Linked DNA regions of Nothobranchius furzeri. The protein of the gene in region 1 purifies or fractionates together with the protein of each later gene. This does not show direct contact. Links are inferred from orthologs where the notes say so. Each region holds a gene or a part of one and is shown on either strand. Other genes may lie near its edges. The genes, in order: chaf1b, cbx5 and cbx3a.

Region 1 (7,805 bases):
CAAAGACCTCCAAGGTGGGGGGCTCCTTCAGTGGAGTGCCCAACTCCCCTGGAGAGAAGGACAGGAAGGAGCAGTAACCGTCTGTGGAGGAGACGGCCAGGAAGGAACCATCCCGAGACCTGAACACAAACACAGCACTAGACTAAAGAGGCTGCCCGGTTCATAGGAGCTTAAACACACCTAATGAAGGCCAACGGGTGTTTTAGGTTTACCATGTCAGGTCGCTGAGTGTGTGGTAGTGGATGTTGGACACCAGCCCAAACGGAAGGCTCTGCTGTGTGTCATACAGAAATATGGAGTCCTCCGAGGCCACGGCAAACACCATACGGTACGGCAGCTGGAACAAGTTGGGAAGAGCCTGGGTCGAACCGTCTGAAGCAGAAAAAGAGTAAAAAAAATTGAAGATAAACATAATAATTCCAGATAGTCGAGACAATCAGCGCCAGTTTGTCCTCACCGTCTCCCCTTTTAGTTCTGAGTTCAAAGTAGAGCGGGCAGCAGCGCACAGCCAACGTGGCTTTAGACGGACACGGCAGGTGAGCGATAGGTCTGACACACACAAAGAGACAGTTTTACAGATGTTAACGGTCAGTAAACACCAGAAAGAGCTGTAGATCCCACCTCTTAAGACTTTTCCTGGAAAAGATGTAAGTGGTGTTTATGATGTTTTCTCCCACCTCCACGCATCCAGCTGGGGTTCAAGATGCGAGAATAAAAAGATGCAAAAGCTGAGTTTATAAAAATCCTTTCATGAGGATAAAATCTCATTTTGGTTCGTGCCGTCTCTGTACCTGGGGCAAGCAGGAACGACCCGTCGGGTGTAAACGAGAGACGACGGAAGAACGACCTCATGCTGTCATCGTGGAACATCCTGTACTGCTTGGACTGCAGTTAAACACGGTGAAGAGGAACACGTTTTTACAAACTGGAGAGCTTTTTAGATGGTTTTAAGGATTAGATCTCCTCTCAGAGTCAAAATTATGCTTCCTTCAACCAGTCTGAGGTAAATGTTCAAGCTTTTCTTGTGTCATATTGTCCTAAAAAGACTTTAAACTTAAACATGTTTAAAAATGTTTGAGATCTTTATCTTACAAGATGTAAATGTAAAACAGCAAAACAAGGATAATAAAACAAGTGGTCATTTTCATTTTTATACCCATAAAATGAAGTTAAAATAAAAATCTTCCCACAAACAACAAATTTTGAAATTATTTTAACGTAAATTTCAGAAACAGTCCTGTTCAAATTAAATGTCATTATTTTTATCTGGTAATGAAAATAAACGATAAATCCATTATCAAATCAACACTTCAAGCATTTTAGGCCTGTTTTGATTGTATTAAACCACATTAAAATTCAAGCATTTCCATGAAATTTAAGCATCTTCACAAAACTCTGAATACAACATTTCTTAAGTTTTTAACTATAAAAACAAGTAAACTTTCTGTATCCAACTGAAAATGAAAAACCCAAAAATAGAAATAAAGATTACTGGGTTTATGAGAATAGGATGGAATATGCTACGAATATCAAGTCAAGTTGCAAAAAGGTTGCAACTAATGCACAAGAGGGGGGGGGGGGGAAATCAAATGTGAAAGAAAAAGAACTCAGATTTAGTAAAAATCCAGAATTTTACTGACCTCTCCTTCTGCAGGTGAACTGGGGCTCATTTTACTGACGCAGAAGGCCTTCTTCTTCGTGTGAGTGCTGTACACGCGCATCGCTCTGAGGAAAACAAAAAGGTTACGTAAACCCAGCGATACCCAACAGACTTGTGAAGGAATGACTCAAACACCAACAGTTACCGGTCACAACTGAGAGTGGCCACATATTGACCCAAAGGATCCCAGGTGACCCCCTGAACGTAGCTCTTATGGTCGTTAAAGATGCACAACTTCTGTCCTAAAAAATAAAAGCAGATATTTGACATCTGAAGGAAAACAAATACGTCCAAAACACCAAACTAAGGCTGCGAACCTTTGTTAACGTCCCACATGATGGCAGTGTTGTCAACAGAACCAGAAACCATGAAGTTGCCATCTCTTGTCCAGCAGATGTCATACACGTCCTCTATGTGTCCTCTGTGAGCAGAAAAATTAAATTCTTTCACTTTATTCTTTAAAAATAGATCAAATACATTTATTTTCTGAATAAGTGGCAAAAACTTGCAGACAAATAACATAATTTGCATTTTAGAATAATTGACATGGCAGCAGCCCAAAGAGGCAATTTTCCCTGGCAAACGTCTAACTTTTCAAGGTGAAAGCCAAAATTGCCAGGTTAACAGTCCCCAAAAGCCACAAAAGTTTTGTTTCTTTTATTAGAAAAAAATGCAAAAACCTGTTTAATTTGGATTTAAATCTATCTAATTTTAATTGCATGGCGCCTTCCACTGCCTTTACAGGCAGGCGTTGAACACAACATAAAAACAGTAAAAGAACAAAAAGACGGATTAAAAACCGCCTAAAAATGACTACAATTATGAGACAGATACAATAGAAGACAGATATGATAAAAGACTAAAAATCCATTTCATATAAAAGCCAAACTATAAAAATGAGTCTTCAATTGACTCTTGAAGACCTGCAGAGATGGGGACTGTTTGATAGCAGGTGGGAGCTCATTCCATAGTGTTGGAGCAAGGACTAAAAAGGCCCTATCACCTCTTGTTTTGAACCTTGGTCGTGGGACGATGAGCAAATCCTGATCAGCCGAGCGTTTCCGTATGTTTCAGGATCGATTTCAAAATACTTTTAACGGTTTTTAAGTGTCTTAATGGTCTTGGGCCTTCTTATCTTTCAGAACTGCTTTTACCGTATGAACCCACGCGGTCTCTGCGCTCCTCTGGCAGCCGTCTCCTTGTCATCCCTAAAGTTAGGACACACATTCACGGCAAGGCGTCCTTCCAGTACTACGGTCCTCGCCTCTGGAACGAGCTGCCAGGGGACCTCAGGGCTGCTGAGAACGTTCATGTGTTTAAGAAACAGGCTCAAGACCCATCTTTTTAGCTTAGCTTTTAACTGAATACTCTCACTTTTTAAATTAATTAATTACTTAATTTATTTATTTTATCCATTTATTTTATTTAATGTATTTTCTTTATGTGCCTTTTAAACAGTTTTTTACCTTGAGTTATGATCAACAATATTTTACTATGTATATAACTTTTTATTACAATTCTCATTTTAGCTCTTTGGATTTTATATTTTAACCTTAATTTAACCTTTTTCCAGTGCTTCCTCTGTGGGAACCCTTTGCCCCGGCGGCGGTGGTCGGCTGTGGTGGCCTGGGTGCTTTCCATGTGTGCCTGGGTGGTGGTGGGAGTCTCTGCCCTCCCTGCCCTGGGCGCATGTATTGTAGAATTGAGTGCTATATAAATAAAGTTGATTGATTGATTGAGCGAAGGGAGCGTGTAGGGGCATGAATTTGATTTCTATTATAAATAAATGATTTCTATTCATTTAAATTCCACAAAATATGCATTTTAATTAAAAGAAAAATAAAATAAAATTGTTAAAGTCACACATCAATAGACAGTCGGAGATGCTGCTGGGGCCACACGATCACTTTGAGGGTCACACTTTGGAGATGTCTGCTCTAGATGATTATCTGCCAACATTATTTAATCTGATAATAGTTTTGAGATCTTTTACAAATCTTTCCAATAAATCTAACAAACCACTGTGGCTTTCTGTTCTGTGTACCTCAGTGTTTTGACCACAGACCAACTCTCTTTATTGAGCTGGGCATCTTCCTCCTCTTGGAAGACTGGAGCTTGCTCAGGCTCTTTAGATTCATTGAGTTTCCATAAGAAAATTGCTGCATCTGTTTAAAAAGAGAAGAGAAACAAATCTCAATAGTACTTATTTGAATATTTCTGCCCTGCATCTAAAGATGATGTGTACGTGTGACATACCATCTCCTCCTGAAGCAAGCAGCTCTCCACTGGGGCTAAAGCGGACCACGTTGACAGCCTTGGTGTGTCTGGCCAGGTTAGACAGAAAATCTACTGCTGCTTTTCCATCTGCACCGGTGTCCACCTGCCACAGCTGCAGCAAAGTCAAGATAAATTATAACTTCATAACTAGAGACCATGTATTATTAAATTATACCAGAGAGTTCCGGGTTGCATGTGGCTCATTAACAGATGTTGCTCACCCTGACTGTGGTGTCCACTCCAGCTGTGGCGAGGCGATGAAAGCGTCCGTCAGAGCTGTGCTGAAAGTCCAGGCTGTAAACCGGCTCCTTGTTGTGCCATGCTATCTCACACGTTACTACCTTCATTTTCCTTATGTTCATATAAAAGTTACATTTACGAGATGCTGACACATTATTGTCATTATTCAGGCTGAAAGTAGCGAACACATTATACAAACTGCAAATATGGACAAGTACAAATTAAATATTATGAAAGGCTGGATGTTTTCAGCAAGACTAGGCTACTTAGCACAGTTAGCAAACAACTTAGCGGGTTCGGAGCGAACACAACAGGAAAAACCCCAAAACATGTGTAAAATAAGTTATTTAAAAGCGAGCAAACGGGATTCAAAAGACAAATGTGTGATTTTAAGTATTCTTTTTACTGAGATAATCTAAAAAATTGTGTTTTACCTACTCCGGTGTCCAACTAATGATAATTTCCCGCGTATGTTTTGTTCACAACTTCCGGTCAAATGGGCTGCTGTGATTGGACGAAACACAGGAAAAGGCGGAGACTGAAGGCAAGTTTCTACTTCTCTTGCTCAGACAAAAAAAAAAAAAAAAGAAAAAGAAAAAAAGGAAAATGAATATAATTATCATCAAATCGAACTTTAATTGACGCATTTATATTATTAAATTATCTAAAACATTATTGAAACTAGTATTTTTCCTTTATTGGTAAATACAGCTATTTTAACGTCACATGCGGCTTTTTTTGTCTTTATGGTAGACGTACACAAATGTACAAACAACAGCTATGAACTACAATTTAATTTTAACATTTGTATGTCTAATGCAAATTTGGGATTTATCGTTTTCTCCCCAATCACTTATAATTAACCTTTTATGCTAAAATGTCTTTTATTCATTTGCATTATTTCTTTAGGTGTTAGCAAACTCTGATCTGAGTGATAAAGTTTTTGCTATCATCTTGTAAACATGAGTCAATATTTTCACTATTTATGATTATGGTATAAACTTGAGGAAAGTCTCAAGAGGATTAAAAGGTAAATAAAAAAGTTAAAAGTACAAATAAAACACTTGAAAAGGTTTGTGCCAATACTGGCTCTTGACTGACAAATATTGGTAAACGTTTTATTATACATTCATTATCAGCATTGACATGACCACATGTAAATCAGAACATCAATCCAAGTTTTCAGATTTCTCAAGCCACATTTTTGCTTTAATTAGTAAAAAAAGTGCATTTTTAGTAAGAAATGTATGTGCTGCACTTATACAAAATACAATGTCTACATTAGTTACAGACACACATACTGTTCAAGCCAAGGGTACATGACTCAAGGGAACGTCTGAACTCTCGTTAATACAGTTTAAAACAAAGTCCCTAAAACTATTAACAATCTTTTGCAAAAAACAAGTAAACATTTTAAAGAAACTTCCAACAGAAGTAGTTGGGCCATATACATATATTTATGCAGTAGCATCGGTGTGCTCTCACCCTCAAATATGATGGAAAGTTTCACATGAGGCCTTGCTTTACTCACTATATTAGGTACGTATAAAATATGTCAATTTGAACCATCGCCTGTTACTAAATCTCAGTTTGCACCATCTGAACTGACAGATAATATAAATATATGTACATGTTACAATAAAAAATGTGATGTTTAATGAAAATCATAAGAAAACATAAAAGTAGTAATAGAATGTATTACTACAAGTGTGAGAACTATGACAAACTAAATGTGATTTAACAATAATGTTTTTTTTTAAAATAGCACAAACGGCTTAGAGTAAAACATCCCAGATGCAACAGAAACAGTCTCCCTGAGCTTCACACAAAATTAACATTTCAACAGTTTGAACTGAAAATGTGTAAGTTTAGGGCTGCAAGATGGATTATTTCACACACGTCAGCCATCAAAGTTTTGGTTTGACAATTAGTTGAAAATATCCACTTGCTGCAGTTAAATGAACTCAGGCAAAAACACAAATTAAGACTGAAGTACAAGCTGAAAACTCAAACCAGACGGACCTGACGTTCTTATGAAACTACAGAACACCTGTGAAGTTCTCTTCAGCTGAACAGGGGAATAGCAGCATCACAACCATCGTTAACATACTGCTCCAGGATCTCATCGATGACGGTACAATCATAATTCACTTGCTCCAAATCCAGATCTGGGATGTAGGAGACGAGAAGACGCCCAACGTTCTTTCGAAGCCTGATCAAACTATAGGAACGAGGAAATAAAGAGGCACGTTTAAATCTAAACAAATAAAAAAACATACTTTAAAACCTACATGAAATAAGTGATCTGCCAGCAGTCCAACCTTTCGTGGTCCTCTGACGTTGAGCCAGAGCCTGCTGAGCCTCCAGCCTCCTCTGATTGTGCGGTTTCCCGTTCTTGCTGCAGACTTGACCTGAGCTCTTCACACTGGGCCGCTAAAGCCGACTTTTCCTCCTCCAGACTGACCAGCTGTTGGTGAAGCCAGAGAAAAAAAAACACCCAAGAGGGCAGAAAAGCAGACCAGCTTTAGAAAGCAGTAACAGAATTTAGGACATCTGCACTCAAGAGTAGTTCAATAACTAAATTCAGCCCCAATCAAAGCTGGGACCCTAACCTTGGAGCGAAGTTCATCCATCTTCTTTTGTCTCTGATCCAGTTCACGAACTAGACCGCCAACCTGCAGAGAAATCTCTTGGACATCTGGTTCTTCACCTGGAGCAGCATTAGCGCCGGTACTGATGTCAGCAGCGTTTGATAAAAACTCTTTGTCCTTCACCAAATCGTGAACCTTCTTCTTGGCCTTCTCAAAGAGACTTCTGTAGTCCTTCTGGACTTCTGTTTGGCAGGCTTGATGAGAGCACTCGCTCTTTACGCTGACCCGCTCCTGCAGCTGGGTGTTAAGTCTTTGCACCTCCTCTTTTAAACTGTCCCTCTCTTGAGCCGTGTCCTGCATGAGCTCCAGCAGCTGATCCTGCTGCTTCTGCACCACAGAGATGTCAGCGAAAAGGGGAGCATATGAAGGTTCAGCGATTTCATCATTTTCCATGTGTGTCACTCCGTTGGACAAAGACTGCTCTCCTCGATTCCCACTCTGACTGGATTCCCCGTTCTCCTGCTTAAGCGTTTGCTGCTGGAGGACGGGGGTGTCTGTGTTGTCTGACATGGCACCATTGTTACTGCACCCTTTCTCCCTCCCTCCAGGTTGGCTTTGACTCTCTGTTTCTAGTTTTACTTTGGAAGCTGCTGTTTGGGTGGAGCTGTTGATCACCTGCGTGCTCGGACCTGCGGCGGTATCCTCTGAACTGAAATCCACCGCTGCATCATCGGTGCATTCTAACAACATGGAGGTCGCCAACTCACTTGCCGCCTCCTCCTCTTTCTTGATTTTAGCAATGCTAGGAGCAGGCTTTTGTGGCTTGGGGGTACTTGATGTCTCCACGATGACAATCTCATCATTGTCGTCATCGTTATCATCATCATCGGTATCATCAGTATCATCATCAGCATCATCATCTACATCTACAGGCACAGAGGAGGACCTCCAGCTCAGATCTCCAGTTGAGGCGTTCTGACAGAAGCCATTTTTTCTTGGTCTTTTTGGCGTACCTTGAGGAGTAACAGGCTGAGGTC
Region 2 (7,902 bases), on another chromosome or scaffold:
ACACCTCACATGTTAATACTGAACCCCAAACAGCTAACAATCAACCCAAATCACTAAAGAGTCTAACAAGACTTAAAAAAACTGAAAGGTGGTTTATTTCAGATTGAATTGATGCAGGTACAAATAAAAACCAGACATAAAAGATAAACATAAAACCCTTAATGGAATGCTTGCTTTCCAGAAAAGATAACATCAAGAAAAAAACAATAGTACAAAGTTTAAATGAAGGCCCTCCATGATTTATCTACTGTACATCTCTTCTCGTAGCAGCTGTAACCTGCCACAACTGTTTGGCTGAGCAGATTTAGGAGGTAAACCTGCAGCTGCCCTGTCACTTCGCTTGCTCTCCTCTCCTTGCTCTGCTCTCCTCTCCTAAGTACTCAGTCCTGTTGAACAATATGGAACAACATTGTTAACTGTGCACTGACTTTAAGGCCTGACATCCAAAGTGAATTTGTCAGTTTAGCTGTATCTCAGTGATTGCCTGTAACGACAAACTGGTTTTGCAACACTATGAGACCATGTTTAGATGCTCACCCCTTCTCATTTCAAAATCGCCCTGGGCGGCCATAGCCTCCAGGATTGTTTGAGCCACCACCATAGCCACCTGAGAAAGGGGGAAATTAATTTGCATCAAAACAGACAAGCGAGTAGCAACCATATTGATCTCAAATACTCACCTCCACCAAAGTTCCTGCCGCCGCCGCCACCACCGCCGCCACCGAAGTTATTCTTCATCGGCCCAAAGTTAGAGGCCTGGGGGTCGTAGTGGCCCATGTTGTTGTAGTTGTTACCACCTCCACCCCCGCCGCCACCACAATTACCTTAAAGGTTATTTTCTGTTATATTGTGATGCTGGGCAGAAATAAACATGGTTTTTACCAAGAGAATTCTTACCGTAACCATTGTTGTCATAACCATTTCCTCCATATCCACCGCCACCGCCTCCTCCTCCACCACCTTGGTTGTAGCCACCCTGATTATAACCACGGTTTCCACCTTGGTTGTAGCCTCCAGGACTGCCAGGACCACCGCCATAACCTGAAATATAAAAAAACATTAGTACTCTAACAAATCATTCAAAACCCACTTTAAATAACTAAAAAGGTGTATACCTCCTCCATCACCCCCATTGCAATTGTACGGACCATCGCCATATCGACCACCCCTGCCACCTTATGAGGGGAAATCAGGATTTAAAAACTCACCCTATTACACTACAGGTGTTGGTGTTCACCATCACACCCTACCTTGGTTGAAGCCTCTGTCGTAATCATATGGCCTTCCCCCGGTGTTACGGCCTCCTCTCGATCCCATGCCCACACTTTGCATTTCCTGCTTGGTGAGGGCCTTCCTCACTTCACAGTTGTGCGAGTTGATTGTGTGGTATTTCTGGACTGTTAATTGGGAGGGACGGCAACATTTTAACCACACATAGCACTGCAGGTGAAAGCTTGCAAGATAAACATTTTACTTACTGACAATCCTGTCAACTGAATCATGGTCATCAAAGCTGACAAAGGCGAAGCCTCTCTTCTTTCCAGTGTTACGGTCAGTCATGATGTCAATGACCTCAATTTTGCCAAACTGCTGGAAGTAATCCCTCAAATGAGATTCTTCTGTGTCTTCTTTTATGCCTCCAACAAAGATTTTCTTCACAGTTATGTGAGCGCCTGGGCGGTTGGAGTCCTGCAAACAACAAGAGCGCTTAATCCCATTCGTGCATCATAAATCAATCTGGATAAGCTGGCTCACATACCTCTCTGGAAACAGCTCGCTTAGGCTCCACCACTCTTCCATCCACCTTGTGTGGACGAGCGGACATGGAGGCATCGACCTCCTGCACTGACGAGTAGGTGACGAAGCCAAACCCCCTGGATCTCTTGCTGTTTGGGTCTCTCATAACCTAAAGGCAGAAACGCATCACAGCTTTAAGCAACCAACCAAACGTTACATTACATTTAAAAAGAGACATAAAGGTATGCGTACCACGCAATCTGTAAGGCTGCCCCATTGTTCAAAATGAGCCCGTAGGCTCTCGTCTGTTGTCTCGAAGCTCAGGCCTCCGATGAACAGCTTGCGGAGCTGCTCCGGCTCACGTGGAACCTGCACAAAAATATTTGCGTCATAGGAGAAGCAATGCACAATATAGTTCCGCATAATAATATTGTCGGTGGACCATTTATATCAAACTCTGCGTCTTTGATCAAAAATCAGGGATAGGGTGGAGAAGGCGCACCGCCGCCATTACAGTTTAGGAACCGCTCAGACTAAAGTCAAAGAACTCCTTCTTTCAAAGAGCCAACACACAATTAATATGTACTCACTGTCGTTTAATGTGTTAGGGATATAATCGTTTAAGACTGGTGTTGAAGAGAAGCCACTGATGTCCTTTACAGATCATCATCAGAACAAAAGGCCACGAGGCTCAGCTTCTATAAAATGGCGGCTTCAAGAAAGCTCTGCAGCTACGGCACACAGTCCGTCGACAACACCAAGTATGGCCAACCTATAATAAAACTACCCAAAACCAAACTATTAATCTTACGGCCTGATATCCTTTGATAAGTTTAGCACTCACCTCTTTAGACATTTTGCCGCTTTATCCTTGACGACTCCTTGAGAACCGACCGCAGAGGAACTAGCTGCGTCAGACAAGACCAGCGACAGGGTGAACGTACAAGAAATAGGAACGGAAACGCCTCTTCCCCTCAGCGATTGGTCTGTAGTTCCCGCGGTACTGTGTCGTCAATCAGAACTGTATTTTGATTGGTCTAAATTTTGTCAATCAATGCGAACAACCATTCACTGCGTAGTAGGCATTCGCCTTTGTCGACCATGAAGAAAAATGGCCGACCTAAATTACATAAAGCCAAAAATGAATGTGCCTTCATCTATAAACAAATTATCTGAATTGACAGAGAAATTGAATGCTCACATTTAAAAGGTGCTGAAAAAACGACTTATTAACTTTTTTCTACGAAACGAGCCTAAGAAAGACAATAAACAATATAAAAGATAGACAAATTGCCGTCTGGCTAAACAACACGGGAAATATCATTCGCATGTTGGTACACAAGATGTCCCGTAATCAAACAAACCGATGCAAAATGTACAACTCTTGAAGAGTTTATGCTAAAGTATAATTTAAAATGAGCCAAATTAGTTAATCTGGGCTTTGTGTGTGGTGACTAAAGGGGGAAAATAACATGAACATAGAGAAATAAATAAATGCAGCAAGATTTAAACGAAAAATATATGAAAACATAAATTACTACAACAAAGTAGACGTATATATATTAATTTCTTTATTTTCAGTCAAATAATTGTAACCCTTTATGCTGTGTTTTTTTTTATTTTGTATTATCGTGTATACTTATTTTGTAAATTATTGTGACTGCAAGTTACTACAATTTTATAAACCGAACGTTAACGTTATAGAAAAGTTAAAATTTAGTAGGAAGGAACGTGTTTTCTAAACATTTATTATGTCACCAGCAGACTGGGGGCGGGTATGTTCATTGTGCGTTTTTAACGCGCGCTTTTTGCGCACGGCACCTTTATGTGCTACAGGCTAGATGCTAACGCTGGTGCTGCATTAGCTGCACTGCTGCCTCTAGATAAACGGAGCAGTCCCTGCGACCAGCGGCCTACATCCAGTGGGTTATACACTCCGAGGGTAAGAAACTGCGTTTTTGTAAATGTGCTTTACGCTGTTGCAAGTATCGGGTAGTTGTTTGATAAGTAAATTAGCGAGTATAGCATAGCTTTAGCACGTAAGCTAGCTCCTTTGGCTAGTTTGGGGTTAGTTAGCAGGACAAATCCCTTGGTCTTCATTGAACTGTGTGCTTTGTTCGTTTTCTGTGAGTGCAGTCTGGTCGCATATAACTATTTCAAACGGGCATATGTCGAGAAATGCACATGTATGGCCATTATATTAGCAGTTTTCCCATGCTTATCGTTCTGCTAGTGGGAAGAACGAGATTAAATGAAGATATTCATTGATGCACGGTAACCACGTTGTGTGGCTAACGCTCATGGTTGCAAACCTGCAGCTTGAGCTTAAATTTATGTGTTTACATGTGGACGAGCGCTGAGAAAAAATGGCATGTTTTGTGAGATGCTTGTTTGTGATTTCGTCGTGAACAGGAAAGTGCCATCGAACTCTAAAAGAGTGTAGTGTGAAGCACCCAACTCCGAGATGGGCAAAAAGTCACGTGAAGAGGAGTCCTCATCTGATGAAGAAGAGTATGTTGTGGAGAAGGTGCTGGACAGGAGGGTGGTGAAAGGCAGGGTGGAGTTCTTCCTTAAGTGGAAAGGATACTCTGAGTAAGTACCAAGTACCTGTTTACTGGTCAGTGACTTGATATTCCCGTTTTACACACACACACACACACACACACACACACACACACACACACACACACACACACACACACACACACACAGCACAAAAAGCATCAGTGAAGCTGGTTTGAGCACACAATATTACCCTTTTAAAAATGAACGTGACATTTCAATGACTTGTGCTGTGATTTTCTGCAGCAAGCACAACACATGGGAGCCAGAGAAGAATCTAGACTGCCCTGAGCTTATTTCAGAGTTCATGAAGACCTATAAGAAAAGCAGCAGCAGCGGTGGTAGTTCGACACCTAGCAGCGGGGCCAGTAAATCAAGCACAGGCTCATCTGGACGCACTAAAGATCCCAGCAGCTTAAAAAAGAAGGGCTCTGATGAAGAGGAGGAAGAAGAGGAAGGAGGAAGTAAGCCAAAGAAGAAGAAAGAGGTAAATTATCTTCATTATAGGTGAATTTCATTGACTACGTTTACATGCAGCCAATATCCGGGTTATGATCGGGTTAAGGTCGGTATTCGGGTTTCTGAGTTGATCAGAATAACCCGTTTACAAGCCCGTTTACAATAAATAGAAAGAGTTACCCCTAACTTGCATAACCCGATTTAAATGCGGACGGTGGGGTAGCGTCAAGACATATGGACTACGTCCAGACGCAATATGCCTCATTTCCGGTTCTTCTTGTTCCGGTATCCGTGAAAACAACAACACGTTTCCCAGTTCGGAAGAGACGGCGACCGCGTTTGTTTGTGCTTTAGTTTCTTCGTCACTGCGAAAGTGTGGTGCTGTGCCGCGACTCGCCATGTTGCTCCCAACTTGTTGTTTACTTCCGGTGTTCTGGCGCATACAAGACGTCTCGCTACTCAAAAGACCAAGATTCCTTGCGAACAGAGCATGTGCAGAACACACGCTTTGATGGGGATATCCCGGTATGCGTTTACACGACCAAACATTCGGGTTAGAAAAGGGTTACGCCAGGTGTAGTAACCGGGTTTTTAAAAACCCGGTTATGAGCATATCCAGGTTTTTGGCGGTGTTTACAAGGACCTGCGGAACCGGGTTATTGTGAATATTCGGGTTTTAAAAGGGTTACTGGCTGCATGTAAACGCACTCATTCTGATATGAATCATTTGTATGCGTGGGAGCATTTGTACTTAGCTCTTCTGAACTGATTTCTGTAAAGACTGTTTATATTTTAGCTAAATGTTGTAAAATGTATAATTTTGAGATGAAAATGATAAATTGTTTTTTTGAATTACCAATAATGCATTAACTTATGGGCAGGTGATGGGCAACACCTATACTTATTAAATAATATAAGTTATATCTAGATTTGACCTGTGTTTAGAATTGCTGAATTTATGGCCAATGAAATAGCCCTTTGGCAAATATTCAGCTGGCATTTTTAATTTTTTATTTTTTATTTTTTTACATTTCAGGATGAGATCCTAGTTGCACGTGGCTTTGAGAGGGGCCTAGAGCCAGAGAAGATCATTGGGGCAACCGACTCGTGTGGAGACCTCATGTTTCTAATGAAGTGGTAAGTTTTACTGGTAGACTCATTTTGGGAGATCTTCATTCTGTTATAATGACAATGCACTTACTTTTATGCACTTTGGTAATCATAATGCACCCATTTCGTAGTAAAACAAAATTTTCCTCAGACATAAACATTAGAAGCTAACCTAGCACAGGGGGGACTAACAGGCCTTTGTAGAGCTTGGTGACCTGCTGAACAGGTAATTCAACCATTCAGGTGTATTGCAGCAGTGAGATGACTAAAACATGCTGGGTATGGGGATCTCAGACACACTTGATCTAAGAGGACTACTATTCATTCTCGTATGACAAAGAAATATGCTTAAGTATTATAAAGTACTTACATTTTCAACTATTAAATGTCTAAAACAGAACTGGTTAAACGGTGCAGAATTGTTGCACCAGAGCACAGCACGATGTCCTATCATGAGCTTAAATGTCTAACAACCTGAATCTTTAACACCACATTACTACTGGCAAATCATTCATTAGCTAATCGCTGTTCCGTCATAAACAGTAAGCCACATCATAAAACTTTATGCTATTGCATATTAGCTAAATTTATACATGCAGTAAATTGTCCCTAAGCAGAAGTGATGGTTGTAGATTTTGGAAATTTTGTTTTGAAATGGGAAATTTGGTTGAAATAATTTGGAAAAGTGAAGGACAATAAGGACAAACTAACAATCCCTAACAATGCGTGGATTCCTTAAGTTCTCTTGCTGTTCTGGTTTCTCGTACAGGAAAGACTCTGATGAGGCAGATCTTGTTCTCGCCAAGGAGGCCAATCATAAGTGCCCACAAATCGTCATAGCCTTCTACGAGGAGCGTCTCACCTGGCACGAAGACGGCGACAAGAAGGAGAAGGATGCTGTTAGCGCGTGAGTGTATCACCTCGGGAGGAATCCTCCACTGCAGGGACTACCTTAAGTCAGACATTTTTTTCCTCCATATCCAAAACTTTCATGTACCACGTCCAAAGGCAACACAATGACAGGCGATGCATCTTTCTCTTGTCCTCCCCTCCTTCCTCCATCCACGTCCCACTGGAGCACAATGACCCGGGCTGCTGAGAGGGGGCCGTCGGGCTGGAGGAGAAGATGTAGTGGGTGTGGGTGAAATGCTACTTGGGGAACTTTCTACTGTATTGTCTTTGTATTCATTACCTTTTTTTAATATCGATGTATGTTTTAGTGCTTACAGGATGTGATTCTATCAGTGAGGAGTGCAGTGTTATGATCAGGTGGGATTGAGTTGGAGTATTGACATTATGGAAGTAACCATCTCTGCACTTTCCTGTCTGTTTAATCATGTCCTTTTTAAACTTTTTATCTTTGTAGATTTTTTTTTTTTTTTTACCAAAATACAACGTTTAAATTTGAACAATCTTTGCTTGGTGATTCGCTTGCTAGAATTTTTTTATTTGCCGTTTTATTTTGTTGCTGCCTAGTGGTAACAAAGTAAAACCGCATAGACCGTGACCAAAACAGATGACAGCCTCTGAGGTGTGTGTGTGTGTGTTTGTGTTAATCAACTTAAGTATTTTTTTAGACATTTTTATTTCTCTAAAATCCTCCCTACACAAAAAAAAAAAACAACAACATTTTACCCTTTTCAAATGTGAGATAGCGGTCAATTTCAATAACTTTTTAGTTTTGTTTTTCTGGGTAATTTTAACATTTTGGACCAAATAGTTGGTGTATTCAGATGTTTTTCCTGGTTTAGTAAAACCTTAGTGACTTGCTCCTTTTTTATACATTTTATTCATATGACCAGTTTTTAATGTTAATTTGCCAAGTCGGTTGGGTTCTTCCATTAAAATGGTTTTGTCCTAACTTTTTACCCAAGCAGAATTTCCAGATTGTTGAGCGGTTTTCTTGTGTCAAAATAAATGTTACAAACATGTGTACTGTATCACCCTTTAATAAACATTTTCAATGGTAAAGTGTATTATTTGTATTTTATTGGAGAAAATAAGATGCATATTTTTCTCCAGATTTAACTTTCT
Region 3 (7,525 bases), on another chromosome or scaffold:
CCACCGCATCATATTCCTGTTGTCAGAATGTTTGTGATGAACGCTGTCGTTTACGTCTCGTTCCTTCAGGCTCATCTGAGATGTCTTCATCAAGCAGCTCGTACTGCGAGGACGAAGGTGGAGCTACAGGCTACAGCAGTGAGGTGCATCCGTTACCCCCAAAGGGTGTAATGAACCACGCCACCATGCGGTCGCCTGTGGATCTGAGTGAGAACGTGTGGCACGATCACAGCTACTCGTCTCCTGCTTTCCTCAACAAGGCGTCTTTAAAACTGCCCCACAAAACAGAGCCTTTTGGCGACGACGAAGAGCGGGATCTGAGTCGTGATGAGCTGCGAGCCCGTGCCCTGTGCATCCCGTTCTCTGTCCTGCAGATTGTCAACATGCCTGTGGAGGAGTTCATGGAGGTTCTGGACAGCCACGGACTCTCCCCTGAGCAGGTGACTCTGCTGAGGGACATCCGCCGGCGGGGGAAGAACAAACTGGCAGCTCAGAACTGCCGCAAAAGGAAATTAGATGCCATCACCGGTCTTCAGGAGGAGGTGGACATGTTGCAGGCTCGGAGGGAACGACTGCTGAGAGAGAAACAGCTTACAGCTAAGACCATGGGGGCTGTGGGCCAACAGATAAAGCAGTTGACCAGAGATGTTCTGGCTCGGCTCAGGGATGGGTCAGGACAGCCCCTGAGCCCAGACAGATTTACCCTGCAGTGTGGCGCTAACGGGAGGTTTGTGGTTCAGCCCATCAGACGTCCAGCCGTCTCCACATCAGCAGGCAACAAAACAAACAAGAGGAAAAAAGGGAAGAAGCAGTGATGTTTCGTTTCCTGCTGAGACTTGAGCTTTTAGAGGCTTTTTTTGATATTCCCGAACTTGACTGACTCTGGGTTTGGGGTTCTTTTTTTGTAGGTGGTGTGTGTGTGTGTGTGTGTGTGTGTGCGTGCGTGCGTGCGTGCGTGCGTGTGTGTGCGTGCGTGCGTGTGTGTGTGTGCGTGCGTGCGTGCGTGTGTGTGTGCGTGCGTGTTTATTCACCACTGCCATAAGCCTTCACTATCAGAAGCTGCAAAAACAAAACAACACTCTGAACACAAATGAATAATTCGATAGAATATCTGTAAATATTGAGACATTAGTAGTGGGCACACTGGACTTTGTGTTTATTAAAGCTGGCAGCAGAACCAGCCCCTCTCTGGGCCGGGCCTGATAACGTAAAACTATCACCTTTACTGGGTATGGGTCCGAGGGGTTTTGTGTGTAAATTTGCCTTTTTAAGTCTTTTGAGGAGAACTAGGAAGTTGAAGATTATATTTATTCTGGTTTGAAAGGTTTTTGAAGTGTTTTCATTTTGACGAAGACTGTTTCCTTCTCTTTTTTTTTCAAAATGGAAAAGTAAAATTTAAGTAAATCTAATGTTTACAGGGGCGTTTAAGGTAACTGTGTGTAATGTTATTTATTTAGGCTAAAACTGGAAAAAATAATAAAGATTTGTCTTTCTCATAGTTGCCAGGGGTGACATGCCAAATACCAATGATTACAATGAAGAGGCTTTATTTTGTAACGTTGTATTTGGTTCGAAAATAATCCACACACGAATGCTTTAAGACACTATTGATGCAGATTTTAATAACAAATAGATGGTTTTGACTTAAATCCTTCATAGTTCGAGTTTCAGCATGCTATGCTCAGAAATCAGTTTTTGATGATGTTCAGCTAAAAATGAACCAAAGCGGTGGTCCCAGCTTTGTTGAATGTTGTTTTATATGCAGCGTGCTTCTGTAAGGTTTGCTGAGTTAAATAGAACAATTCTAAAACGGTCTCACGCAACTTCTTTTGTTTGATTTCCAGTTTACAGGGATGACTTTCTGTGATTTTTGGCTCCAGTTTCATCTAAAATGGATTTTCTTTCTCAGTGAGATTGTGTGAGGTATTCTAATCAGTTTTTTTCTTGTTTATAATTGTTTTATAATCTCTTTACTCCTAAAATACACCCAAAATGATACATAAGGTTGTATCTATGTTACAAAGACCCATTCTGGAAAACATAATTTCTCACTTTTCCCATAAAGATGCTTCTAAATGGCACAAAAAGGCAAACTTTACTCATCTGCTGACCCTTTTGTGCTTTACTTAAGTCAGCTGATCTGACATGAATCCCCTCACATCTACTAAAGCACAACCTCACCTAAAAATAACTTTAGAACAGAAGAAATCCCCTGTCATGCAAAATATGTTATCCACTCGCTACACAAACAAGAATGATTGTTGTCTGTTTATATGTTTGGGATTATTAGAGAATGCAATATGACAGGCTGAGTGTTTGATTACACTAGGGCAGGGGTGTCCAATCCTGGTCCTCGAGGGCCGTTATCCAGCACGTTTTTCGTTTTAACCTGCTTCAGCACACCTGATTTCAATCAGCAGGTGATTAACAGGCTTCTGCAGAGCCTGATGAGCTGCTGCACAGGTGATTCAACCAGCTAATCAAGCATTTTGAAGCAGAAAAACCACAAAACCTGCTGGTTACTGGCTCTCCAGGACCAGGATTGGACTCCCCTGCACTAGGGAGTGTATAAACTTAATTGTGATCCAAAGATCATGTTTTCTCTTTGTCCTGGTTTAAACGTTTATTTGTGTGCATTTCACTTTCATACATCTTGTTTTTTCATGCATGAGTCACATTTGTCTGTCTGTTTGCGGTGATTATTGAAAAGATAAATCTGATTGAAGAATACTTGATTTCTTTATTAAAAACATTTAAATAATGTCTTGTTTTGTCTGGCTAACAGGTTATATATACCATTACTGTTATGGTGCTGCGTGCTGGTGAGCATATCAACATTATTTTCCTCACCTGAGCTGAACACCTGTGTTGACCGGCATCATTTCAGGACAGAAGGCAGACAGATTTATTAAAATATGGCTGTAAAGCATATTTAACAAATACTCGTTCAAAATCACAAGCCAGTCATTTACGGTATTCAGTAGAAAGTAAAAGAAATTGTTTCACTCAGTCTGAGAACAATCTAAACAACTTGAGACATCAGGTGCTCAATTTAATCTGAATTCAGCATTAGCATTATGACTTTGGGGTCAATTTGTTAAATTTTTCATTTTTGAACAATCTGAAAAAGAAAATGATTGCTAGTGTTTATGCTTTATTCCTTCCACTACTTTATAGTTTAAAACATATATAAACGTTTTCATTTACTACCAACGTGTCTCAGATTGCGTTAACTAGCGGCTTGAAGCCTTGGTTCATGAAAAGGGCCCTTCTGGAACACATGGGTCAGCTCGGCTGCAGACGAATCGCTTTTCCTTCTGGGCTTCCGTAGCCACAACTAGTTTTTGGCGCCGCCTTCGTTGTGGGATCGACTTCATCCGAGCGGCGTGGTGCTGAACAACTATAGAAATCCGCGCGCTTTGGGTGAGTGTGCGGAGTTCTTCTCTTTTAAAACAATGTTGAGTATTTCTTTAATTACATCAGGCTACTCTGAGCGTGTTAAAACGCCACCTATACGTTGCTGGTTTTTTGACAAACAGCAGTTTAGTTGTTGACCCAGCAGCGTTAGCATCGCCATTGTTTAGCTATTACTGTAATATGTTAAGCTAGCTGAAAGTAAGGCAAGTAAGGTGTTGTTTTGTGGGGATGTGTTGTAGTTTTACCACAGTTTTTATTTTATCTTTTACAATTCTACTAATTCTGTTGCTCAAATAAAATCCGCAGATGAGACTGTTTAAAATCAAGGAAATTTTAGGTAAGGGGTCAGCGTGTTAGCAACCTTTGTTACGTTTAGCTGCTAAATGCTGAGCTAACTAGCAGGTGGGCCAAATTAGAGTAATGTCCTATGTTAGCGTTGGCTGAGTTATTTGTAGCCTAGCATCCGGGTGGATTTAAGGCCTTCCGAATAAATGCGGCTCGTCTTTTTATCTTTAAAAAGCAAAATGGGCAAGAAACAGAATACAAAGCCTAAGAAGGAGACCGAGACCCAGGAGGAGCCTGAAGAATTTGTTGTGGAGAAAGTGTTGGACCAGCGGATCGTCAACGGGAAAGTAGAGTTCTACCTGAAGTGGAAAGGCTTCACAGAGTGAGTTACCCGGGACAATGTCCTGCTCTCTCCGCCTCTAACGCACCGTGGCTGCATGAAGCCTCCCAGCTTTTCCCTTTTAACACGTTTGGGATGTTTTTGGTTTGAACGCTAACCTGTTTTTTTTTTTTTTTTTTTTGCTCCCTCAGAGCGGACAACACCTGGGAACCCGAGGATAACCTGGACTGCCCCGAGCTCATTCAGGCCTTTCTGGATTCCCAGAAGAATATAAAGGAGAAGCCGGCTGCAGTGAAGAGGAAGGCCTCCACAGATGATGCAGAAGAGGAACCCAAGAAGAAAGATGTGGTTAGATTATACGTTTTTTATGTCTCTGACCTGCTAGCATGATTCCCTGTAGGTTGTGCAATCAGAATATGGTTTATAACCTGTTTTTGTTTTTATTTGACAGCCTGATAAGCCTCGCGGCTTTGCCAGGAACCTGGAGCCAGAGCGAATCATTGGTGCCACAGACAGCAGCGGGGAGCTGATGTTCTTGATGAAGTGGTGAGTTAGGCAGACTTTACACCCAATTTCAACAAGAGTAGTTTCACATTTACCTCGGTTGCTTTGCATGGCCATTAGTGTTTTTTTAGGGAGTCGAACTAAAAGCGGAAAAGGTTTATTACAAACATGTAGAGTATTTAGAAATAAAATCACTTGAATATATATAATTTATTTCTTTGATTTTTAAATAGGCTTTTCTAAGATCTGCTGTTTTATTTTAGTTTTTATTTATTTTTTTGTCCCCCAGGAAAGAGTCAGATGAAGCAGACTTGGTCCCTGCTCGTGAGGCCAACACGCGCTGCCCTCAGGTGGTCATATCCTTCTATGAGGAGCGGCTGACGTGGCATTCCTGTCCAGAGGATGAGGCTCAGTAGCCTTTGCCTGGATTCTGCACACCTTTATGTTTTAGGTTTTTATTGTGTTCTCTGTTCTGCTTTTTTTTTTCTTCTTTAGCTACTTTAGCTGATTTGAGACAAAATCATTTGTATGGCAGTTGGGGTATTGTAGATTAAAAGTTTGTCAAAGCAGGTGACTGGGTTGGATATAAGATTAGTCAAAAAGCGATAATGTCAGTCCACATTCCAATTTGTTTATTTTTTTTACTTGAGTCTATGTCAACCTTTTTGAGTTCAGTTAAATGTTTTGTTCCTTGATGCAAGTGCCGACGTGTTTGAAATGAACGCTTTGTTTACAGTTTGTAAATATAAAGTTCAAATAAAGGTTTTATGTGGCCTAGTTTTACCCTCTTCATTTGTAGTTTAGGACAAATGCATACAGAAAAAAGAAAACCTAAATGTTGCTTTATTAAAAGTGTCACAGCCAGCTGAGTGGTTCTGTCAGGGTATCAATCCTTGGCCTACATCAGAATGTTATTTTGGCAGCAGCATTCTGATCTCCTTAGAGGAACAGTGGTGAGATATTTATCCAAGGAGGACCATGAATGTCCACACCTGTCTGGAGCTCTATCAGCTGCTCATTCTGTTCTGCACTTGGTGTAAATGAGGCTTCAGTCTGCTGGTTCTCAGTAATGGATAATGGTTGGTTTCTTCTATAACCACTTGTAAAGACACATTATGGAGTTTATTTTAAAAGTAACTGGTCACATGTTAACAGCTATTTGCCTGTCGGAGATGTTAAACTTCCAAAAAAGCCTGGAACAGCTGGCAGGAAGTGTTGATGAATGGAAACATTTAAAGGAGACTAAAATCAGTCCAACCATAGTTTTACCTGTCATTTGATCATTGCATCTCACCTAATGATGCTCACACTAAAAAGGTAGAGATCGAAGACTTGGCTTTATCACCTGTAGTAGACTCATGGATGGTGACGTAACCTAAAACTTCATATTTATGTCCAACCGTGTGGTGATTGGTAATTCAAATCTGAATTCAGGTGTCTATATTGGTGGTTTTTATTGAACGAATGGGGGATAAAGTTGCATTGACGTTTCTGACTAAACAACATCCAGTTTCACCCCTCTGGCCTTTACCTACTGATAAAGTAACACAAGATAGGAGACGTCAGCGTAAAGGAGCAGTTATTAGCTGATTTACTTAAAATCTCATCACACCACTTGTGTTCAGATGGGCTCCTGGGCTGGACAGAAATAAACTTTGCTTAGGTAAGATGACTTTCACTTGTTTGTATCTGGGGTCCAGGCTGCAGCATGTTGTTTACAGGAATTTATCATTAATGGCTGACGTCTTGTACAAGCTGAGATCAGAAAATTAAAGTTTCTTTGATTTGACTAACAACAAAAACTTCTGTGTTAAAATGATCAATATTTTCTGTGCTGACGCTGGATGTAAAGATCCCCTTTTAACTAGTGTTCTCTATAAGATTCCACATAAACCCTCATGCTTGGCTCAGGATAAGATAAGAACAACTTTATTTATCCCGAGGGAAATTCTTGTGTCATGTACATGCTCAAAGCAGTCGGAGACAAAGGAACAGGTGAAACAGAAATATGATATACAATATATACATTAAAAAAATGATCTACAGTAGTACCATGTAGGATAGTGCAAAACAAACAATCGCATATCTCAATTAAATACATGACTGCATCCTTGTGAATAAGCAATTAAGCCGTTGGTGCAGGCGATTCACAAAAGTGATTATTGTGATCCTCCCATAAAACAACTTTATTAATTACCATTTTAAATTCTAATGAGGTTGTGTGTGTGTGTGTGTGTGTATATATATATATATACATACATATATCATCATTGTCGTCTTCCTCCGCTCATCCGGGTCGCGGGGACAGCATCCCAACTAGGGAGTTCCAGACTGTCCTCTCCCCAGCCACCTCCACCAGCTCCTCCGGCAGGACCCCAAGGCGTTCCCGGACCAGATTGGAGATGTAACCTCTCCAACGTGTCCTGGGTCAACCCGGGGGCCTCCTGCCGGCAGGACATGCCCGAAACACCTCCCCAGGGAGGCGTCCAGGAGGCATCCTGACCAGATGCCCAAACCACCTCAACTGACTCCTTTCGATCCGGAGGAGCAGCGGTTCTACTCCGAGTCCCTCCCAAATGTCCGAGCTCCTCACCCTATCTCTAAGGCTGAGCCCGGCCACCCTACAGAGGAAACTCATTTCGGCCGCTTGTATCCGCGATCTCGTTCTTTCGGTCATTACCCAAAGCTCATGACCATAGATGAGGACTGGGACGTAGATCAACCGGTAAATCGAGAGACTGGCTTTCTGGCTCAGCTCCCTCTTCACCATGACAAACCGGCTCAGCGTCCGCATCACTGCAGACGCCGAACCAATCCGCCTGTTGATCTCCAAATCCCTCCTACCCTCACTCGTGAATAAGACCCCGAGATTCTTAAACTCCTCCACTTGAGGTAGAACCTCTCCCGACCCGGAGTTGGCAAGCCACCCTTTCCCGGTCGAGAACCAGGTCTCAGATTTGGAGGTGCTGATCCTCATCC

Evidence for each region.
Region 2: the proteins of chaf1b (region 1) and cbx5 purify together in Homo sapiens (affinity purification with mass spectrometry; 8 studies listed by BioGRID and IntAct, with this or other methods). This does not show direct contact. The link is inferred for Nothobranchius furzeri from reciprocal best matches to the Homo sapiens genes CHAF1B and CBX5.
Region 3: the proteins of chaf1b (region 1) and cbx3a purify together in Homo sapiens (affinity purification with mass spectrometry; 3 studies listed by BioGRID and IntAct, with this or other methods). This does not show direct contact. The link is inferred for Nothobranchius furzeri from reciprocal best matches to the Homo sapiens genes CHAF1B and CBX3.

What each region holds. Positions count from the first base shown.
Region 1 is NC_091754.1:23,986,793-23,994,597, reverse strand, and holds the start of chaf1b (chromatin assembly factor 1 subunit B), read right to left. Parts: upstream 4,409-7,805; 5' UTR 4,300-4,408; coding exon 4,159-4,299; intron 4,050-4,158; coding exon 3,917-4,049; intron 3,826-3,916; coding exon 3,705-3,825; intron 2,082-3,704; coding exon 1,978-2,081; intron 1,903-1,977; coding exon 1,806-1,902; intron 1,726-1,805; coding exon 1,641-1,725; intron 886-1,640; coding exon 792-885; intron 692-791; coding exon 622-691; intron 550-621; coding exon 458-549; intron 373-457; coding exon 213-372; intron 120-212; coding exon 1-119. Other genes in the region: morc3a (MORC family CW-type zinc finger protein 3), read right to left, coding at 6,242-6,398, 6,499-6,644, 6,790-7,805. UniProt on the Homo sapiens protein: Acts as a component of the histone chaperone complex chromatin assembly factor 1 (CAF-1), which assembles histone octamers onto DNA during replication and repair.
Region 2 is NC_091755.1:25,770,081-25,777,982, forward strand, and holds cbx5 (chromobox protein homolog 5), read left to right. Parts: upstream 1-3,541; 5' UTR 3,542-3,679; intron 3,680-4,149; 5' UTR 4,150-4,201; coding exon 4,202-4,329; intron 4,330-4,545; coding exon 4,546-4,786; intron 4,787-5,794; coding exon 5,795-5,895; intron 5,896-6,637; coding exon 6,638-6,779; 3' UTR 6,780-7,250; downstream 7,251-7,902. Other genes in the region: heterogeneous nuclear ribonucleoprotein A1, read right to left, coding at 549-607, 681-824, 898-1,041, 1,116-1,175, 1,251-1,397, 1,479-1,689, 1,760-1,906, 1,990-2,106 and 1 more. UniProt on the Homo sapiens protein: Component of heterochromatin that recognizes and binds histone H3 tails methylated at 'Lys-9' (H3K9me), leading to epigenetic repression. In contrast, it is excluded from chromatin when 'Tyr-41' of histone H3 is phosphorylated (H3Y41ph).
Region 3 is NC_091751.1:29,399,792-29,407,316, forward strand, and holds cbx3a (chromobox protein homolog 3a), read left to right. Parts: upstream 1-3,274; 5' UTR 3,275-3,423; intron 3,424-3,436; exon of another isoform or gene 3,437-3,754; intron 3,755-3,937; 5' UTR 3,938-3,941; coding exon 3,942-4,084; intron 4,085-4,233; coding exon 4,234-4,390; intron 4,391-4,493; coding exon 4,494-4,588; intron 4,589-4,835; coding exon 4,836-4,962; 3' UTR 4,963-5,323; downstream 5,324-7,525. Other genes in the region: nfe2l3 (nuclear factor erythroid 2-related factor 3), read left to right, coding at 70-815.